2 linked regions of the Cricetulus griseus genome follow. The protein of the gene in region 2 interacts with the protein of the main gene of each other region in a biochemical or structural test. Links are inferred from orthologs where the notes say so. Each region holds a gene or a part of one and is shown on either strand. Other genes may lie near its edges.

The links. The genes of interacting proteins can lie anywhere in the genome.
Region 1: of the proteins of Syk (region 2) and Flt3, one has a biochemical effect on the other in vitro, tested with the Homo sapiens proteins (2 studies listed by IntAct, with this or other methods). The link is inferred for Cricetulus griseus from reciprocal best matches to the Homo sapiens genes SYK and FLT3.

The regions. Positions count from the first base shown.
Region 1 is NC_048597.1:83,274,689-83,278,436, forward strand, and holds the start of Flt3 (receptor-type tyrosine-protein kinase FLT3), read right to left. Parts: upstream 2,603-3,748; coding exon 2,461-2,602; intron 1-2,460. UniProt on the Homo sapiens protein: Tyrosine-protein kinase that acts as a cell-surface receptor for the cytokine FLT3LG and regulates differentiation, proliferation and survival of hematopoietic progenitor cells and of dendritic cells.
Region 2 is NC_048596.1:271,569,934-271,573,581, reverse strand, and holds part of Syk (tyrosine-protein kinase SYK), read right to left. Parts: intron 1,051-3,648; coding exon 841-1,050; intron 1-840. UniProt on the Homo sapiens protein: Non-receptor tyrosine kinase which mediates signal transduction downstream of a variety of transmembrane receptors including classical immunoreceptors like the B-cell receptor (BCR).

The sequences.
Region 1 (3,748 bases), on a different chromosome or scaffold from region 2:
GAGCTAGTTTGGAATAAGCGTAAGCTATAGACCAAGCTTTCCTAATGAATATGAAGTCTCCGTGTCATTATTTGTGAGGTGGCAGCCCAAAGAAAAATCCAGTCACACCTTCCCTCTCTTCCAGAGCCTCTATCCATGAAAAATAGTGCTTACAAAGGAAACCAACCTCTTTCTTTGTAATGCAAGAAATTTAACTCTTTTTTTGTTTGTTCCAGACAGGATTTCTCTGTGAACAAACAGCCCTGGCTGTCCTGGAACTAGCTTTGTAGACCAGGCTGGCCTTGAACTCATAGACATATGCCTGCTTCTGCCTCCTGAGTGCTGGAATTAAAGGTGTGCACCACCATGCTTGGCTGAAAGTCCTTACTTTTAAGATCCTTACTTTACCCAAGAAGAAAATATTTATGAGTGAGCATCATAAAGGTGTGGGCTGGAGCTTCCATACCACTAGTAGGGATGTGAATTGGTACAACTACTTTGGAAAACACCTCTGCAGTACCTACCCAAATTGCATATATGCCCTCCCTTTGGGAAAATCCTACAAGAAATGAGAGTTCAGGTCCACCAAAACCAGATGATGGACACAGAGTATTGTTTGTATTTACAACGAAAACAGAAGCAACTTTAAAAAAGGGGGTTCTGAGAATTGAACCCAGGGGTTTCATGTATACTAAGCAAGTACTCTGCTATAGAGACACATCCTTAGTCCAAGAAGAGCTTTAATGATCATCAAAGGAATGTATAAACACAGGGCAAAGAGTATCATATCAAAGAATGGCAGCCAGCACTGTTTTCAAGAACTACACTACAGGGAACAAAGTCTTCTTTCACAAGCACTGTTGAGTTAGAGAGGCTGAATACTGGGTCTGGAGAACTGGCTCAGCAGTTAGGAGCACTTGCTGTTTTTGCAGAAGGCCTGGGTTTGGTTTCTAGCACCCACACGGTGGCTCACAACCATCTGCAAATTCATTTCAAGGGGAGTTGGCCACCTTTTCTGACCTTCACAGGCACACATGCCCATGGAGGTCAACACTTGTCCACACATAAAAACAGGTAGTACAGAAAGAAATTGATCATGAAGGAAGAGTTAGGAGAGTGCCTCATCTATGTGAGTCCCTGAGTTCGATCCCCAGCACTGAAAAAAGAAAGGAGAGGGGTGGGGTATAATAGTGATTTCCTTTTTGTGAATTTCAAAAACAGGCAAAAGTAATACAGAGTTTGAGATAATCAGAGTGGTGGTCACTTTGGAGCTGAGCCACCCTGTGTTTTGACCCCCTCCCGTGATTACGAGGACATACTGAAATATAACGGACGGATGGACTCCTAAGATTGTGCATATTTGTTGTCTGTGTGTTGCATTTTGAATCTGGAGAGGAATATAGACATTTCCTAAGAAGGAGTCTAGTGCGGTTTGAGTGTGGTTGCAAGTGCTGCTCTGATACCAAGTTACTTCCCTAGACCCCTTCAGCCCTTCAGAAAATCTTTTCTGCTATGGAAAAAGGCACTAATAGCATACACAACCAAACCCTTTTGCATTAACAGAACCTGAAAAGCAAAGCTATGTATTTGAAATATACCTATTTACAAAACTGTTTAAGAAAGGTAAAACGTCTATTTTCCCACTTCTTTATATTCTACATTTTTTACTTTGTAATTCTTATTTTTTAAAGCGACCGGAAATAATTTCTGCTGGTTATATTGTAAATATTTTTTCTATTTGTCGTCGATGTTCAAGCCTTATTCCTAAGCGTTGGAGCCGAAGGGGAAGTAGGTTACCGGGCAGATGAGGACGCCAAGGCCAGGCCGTGAGTGCCTCCCAAGGCTGCAAAACTAGGGCAGGGCCCGATCTTCTCCAGGCTCCCAGAACTCTGTCTCCAACTTAAATTCAATCCAACCCCCTCATCTTCCCAAATAGAAAGCTGACGCGAACCGATCTGAACTGGGTCGGAAGGGGAACTTTTCTTTATGGTTAACGTTTTCAATCACAGCTACCACCCAAGCAGGTAATTTGGGAGGGCAGTCCTCAGAGTCCTTGAAAATCTCACTAGGGTTTAATCCTAGGATAAGAACAGAAGGACCGCTAATATTTTAATTTGTAAATCCGTTTCGGATAGTATTTCCAAAGTAACTAGCCATTGATCTAACCGAAAATTGGCACAGGTGGGGGTCACCAGCGGGGATGACCGCTCTAACAGAAGATGCCGTTTTCCCATTAGAGTTTACTCAGTCAACCCATGCCTCAAAGAGGTGAGAACGCCACTTCCCGAGACTCCACAGTAGCCAGGGGGACAGTTCAGGGGGTCCTGGGCCACCTGCACTGCCCAGACTCCAGGGCTGGCCGCGCGCATCCAAACCCAAGCCTAGGCGCGGCGGCCTGGGGACTGCGGAGGAGCGCTGCGGAGGAGGGTGGGGGCGAGAGCGGAGGGGGGGGGGCGAGCCGCAGCCAAGTTCACCGCTTGCACAGGAGGGCGCGAAAGAGGTGAGGGACACGGCGGCGAGGGGAGCTCGGGGGCGGGGGTGCGCACTCGGCCGGGGCGGGGAGGGGGCGAGGGGCCTTACCGAGCAGCGGCAGTCGGCCGCCGCGCCGCGCCAACACCCGCATGGCCTCCGGAGCGCGCGGTACCCAAGCCACCCGCCCAGCCTGCGATGCGGCCCCAGCGGCGCGCCGGGGGCTGCAGGTGGCTCGCCGAAGGATGCGCGTCACCGACCGCAGATTCCCTCGGACTGGTGCAGAGCAGAGGGGGAGGAACCTCTCCCCAGAGGCCGGGGCAGCGCGCGAGCCCCGGGGCTGTCAGGCGGGCCGAAGTGGCGCAGCACTGCGCCTAGCCCACGTGCCTGCCGTGGTCCACAGCCTGCGCTCCTGGCGCCCGGGGCAACCCGACTGCGGCGGGGGAGACTGGGTGTGGTCCTGCTGGGGAAGTTGCTCGGACTGGGTGGCTCGGGCCGTGTTGCGGTTGCCGGGAGTCCCCGGACCTCTGCTTTAAGATTCCGGAGTGTGAGAAGAGCGGTGACCCACAGACCTCCCTCTTCGCGCGGGCGTCTTTGACGCCCCATGAAGGGTGCCGAATCGGTACCACACACTGGCGACTCTGACGATTTTATTCCTCGCATGGTAGATCTTCAGTGTGGATTGATTTTCTTTGTCTTCTCCCTCTTATCTCTTAGGATAGCCAAGATTCCATCTACCTCCGATACAGAAACGCAGACTCTGTTTCAATGTCAACTGCATAAATTGGGGAGGTTAAACACGCTCAAACAAATTAGACAGTGCATCTCAAAGGATCTTTGGAGTTGTCCTCTCTTACTTCTGGCTTTTAGTCTTATAGTGTTTCGAGGTGACAGTTATTTTCCATGCATCAAGCTGAATATTGAAAGCTCAGGCTAGCAGCCGTGGCTTCTCCATTGAGGAGCCCTCCTGAGCCATTTGTCCTCTGCGTCCTAGATCCCTCTCCACAATGACAGATGTGGATCAAATGGTCGGTAATGTCTCTCCATCACAGCAGTTCTATGCTTTTCACCCTTTTAATAGTTTTCTCTTCAGGCATGACCATTGTGAGTGTACGACCACCGTCATCACTGTTTCTCCTCGGCTGCGACCCACAGCATTATCAAGTTTCCCTCTAGGGGAAACTTCAAAGTGACTTCCATAATGCAGCCACCTCGGAAAATGACATGGGCTTGGTGCTTTAGGTATTTTAAGGTCATATGACTCCACTTTTGGAATTGCAGCAGGGGTATGAAGAAACAT
Region 2 (3,648 bases):
TGGTAAAATGTTTGATGCACAAGGATGAAGACCTGAGTTGGGATCCGCAGCACTTATATAAAAGCCAGGTATGGCAGTCGGGACCTGGAATCCCCAGGGTCCCGGGCCAGCCCAGTTTGTCTGAATTGGTGAGCTCTAGTGTCAATGAGAGACCTTGTCTCAAATGGTAAGACAGAGAGTTAAGCGATTGTTCAGTGGTTAAGAACACATGTTGTTCTTGTATAGGGCCTGAGCTTGGTTGGGAGGTTCACAATTGTCTGAAACTCCAGCTCCAAGAGCTCTGACTCTTCTGGCCTCTGTGAGTATCTGCACTCATGTGGTACACACTCACTCAGACATATACACATAAATAAAAAACAATAAGGTGGAGAGTGACAGAGGATAGAGAATGACACCCAATATTGACCTCTGTTCTCCACACACTTGCATTCACCCATAGGTGCAAACACTCGCAGAGAGAGAAAGAGGGAGAGGGAGACGGAGAAGAAGCCGGGGGTGGGGGAGAGAGAGCTAAAAGAACTAGATCCAAAGGCTGCATCTTCCTTCATTGGTTTCTCAATTCCCTGAGCAGGGAGCAATGTGGGAAGGTAGTAAGGGAGAGAGAGAGAGAGAGAGAGAGAGAGAGAGAGAGAGAGAGAGAGAGAGAGAGAGAGAGAGAGAGAGAGAGAGAGAGAGAGGAGAGAGAGAGAGAGGAGAGAGAGGAGAGAGAGAGAGAGAGAGAGAGAGAGAGAGAGAGAGAGAGAGAGAGAGAGAGAGAGAGAGAGAGCTCCCCACAGAAACCAGGCCCCAGCACGGCGCGCACAGCACAGCACAGCTCCTGGGCTCCTGAGCTCCGCGCACCTGTTCTGCTGCAGGTACTTGTTGAGCGGCCCCAGCTCTGCCATCTCCATCACCAGCATCCAGGACTCGGCCTCACAGATTCCAATCATGCGCACAATGTAGGGGTTGTCCAGCTGCTGCATGACGTTTGCTTCCGCCAACAGCTCGTCCTTCAGAGCAGGGTTGTTGGCCTCATTCTTCAGGATTTTCACAGCCACTGTTTTCGTAACTCTATAATACAGATTGTAGCTCCTGAGAAACTTGCAAAGCTGTCTAGAAGTTCTCCCCTGTGAGGCACATTCCCCGGGGGTGGCTGGGGTCGGGAATGCTGACATGCTTGCTGCATTCAGAAAACGACCACAGGCTAGGGGGACAGATCAGTGTGCAAGGCGCTTGCCTTGCAAGCGTGAGGACGCGAGTTCTGATCCCCAGAGCCCACAGGAAGTGGATACAGTGGAATATGTCTGGAATCCCAGCACTTCCAGGGCAAGAAGACAAGAGATAATCCACGGACACTTGTGGGGCCAGCAGCAAACCCCAAGAGTCTGTCTCAAGCAAGATGAAAAATAAGAAGTGATACCCAGGGTTGTCCTTTGACCTCTATATGGGTGGTGTGACAAGAGCACCTGCACACACACACACACACACACACACACACACACACACACACACACACACCGCAAATGCTCTGAAAAATGGCTAGTATCATTTTACACATTTGTGTAGAAATTTTATCCACAGGTGTAGTTTTTCAAATCATACATAGTTAATGTTTGTTCCTTCATTTAAGTCACATTTTGTTAGAATATTTTCAAGAGTTTGGTGTGATCCATGCGATATTTTAGTGAGAAAATGAAAAAAAAATCTATATATTGGAACCACATTGGGGTTGCTTAAATTTAACAAAACCCGTTGGGGGGAGAGAAGTGTTTCTTTATCTTTAACTCTGAGCTTTAACAATGTGTGAACTGGGCATGGAGGTGACCACCTGTGACCCGGCACCCGGCATCCCAGAGGTAGATCCGGGAGGACCAACAGTTTAAGGTCATCTTTAACTCCCTCTGAATATAACAGCTGTCATTCCTGTCAGATCAGCCATGCCTTTTGCAAGAGAGCAGCAAGACCAGCTTTGTCTGCCACTGATCCCTCACAGAAGGAAAGTGTGGGAACAATCACAGGACTGTCACCTGGACTCCTGTGACTCTCTGGCACCTCCCAGATAACTGTATGAGATTCTGTCCTAACTGAACATAGACTCAGGGTCTTGGGAGGTACTAGAGCACACAGACTGTGAAGGTCAGCAGGAGTGTGTGAGGGTGTATGTGAGAGGGGTGTGGTGGTTTGAAAGAAAGTGGCCCCCCAAAGGGAGTGTCATTATTAGGAGGTGTGGCCTTGTTGGAGGAAGTGTGACACTGTGGAGGTGGGCTTTGAGGTCTCATATATGCTCAATATACCGCCCAGTGTCTCAGACCACTTCTTGTTGCCTATGAGTCAAAATGTAGGGCTCTCAGCTACTTCTTTAGCACAGTGTCTGCCATGTCACTCCATGATGATCATGGACTGTCAGCTGTCCCATTAAATGTTTTCCTTCATAAGAGTTGTCATGGTCGTGATGTCTCTTCACAGCACCAGAAACCCTAACTAAGACAGGGACCATACACATCCCTGTAGAAGCCATCATCCACACTAAAGCCAGGCTTCTCAGTGGTGCAGCTCCTGTAAGCAACCCCTCATACATGCTCTGTAGCAAGCCTAATAAGCTCATTGGTCCCCCAGGTTGGACTTCGGGGGGAACTGTGCTCTGGTTTGTGGTTGGTGCACTGGAAGAATGACTAGGTGCTTGGTTACATCACCCAGGGTTAGCCTCGGCAGCAGACAGTCTTCCAATCTATTGTTCTTTGATAGACAGAAGAACAATGCCCCACAACCTGTAAAGCAGGGTACCGGACATTGATGGAGAATGCTCCAAGCTGAGCAAAGCCCCCAGACTGTAAAATATTAAAACAGCTTCTGTAAAGATCCACCAGCTGTGACATACATATAGCTCCCTGCAATGTCATGTAATTTGCCAACTAGGTTATATGCATACATGAATACCAGGTTCCTTTGTGATATTGAAAATGAGCATCTGGGCCCAGAATTAAAGAGCATACGTTGTTTTATATTTTTTTCTTTTTGAGACAGGGTTTTATGTAATCCATTCTGGTCTCAAATTTACGGTATAGTGGAAGATGACCTTACACTTCTGGCCCTCCTGTCTCCACCTATGGGAAGCTGGGGATCACAGGTAGTCACCACCATGCCTAGTTTGCACCTCTCTCTCATTAGGCTTTGTTAAGTTTAAGCAAGCCCTCAACATGTTTCCATAACATAGATTTTTCATTTTCTCATAAAAATATCATGTGGATCATGCTGACCTCTTGAAAATTTTCTAACAAAATGTGGTTTAAATGAAAGAACAAACATTAACTATGTATGACTTGAAAAATCACATCTGTGGTAAAATTTCTACAAGAACGAGAAGTTGCCTTTTTTTTTTTCTGAACTTTCAAACTGGAGAATAAAAGCAGAACTAGTTAGTAAGGGGGCAGTGAGAGGCTCAGGAGGCAAAGGTACATGCTGCCAAGCCTGATGACCCAAGTTTGATCCCCATGGGCATGTGTGTACACACACACACACACACACACACACACACACACACACCGAATAGAAACAGAGCAAATCTGACAGGCACATAGAAAAGCACACATAACCAGTATTGTAGTAATTTGGGATGTAGCCAGTGGTCTTTACAGGTGGATTTAGAGTAGTAGCAGCACCCAAGCAGCC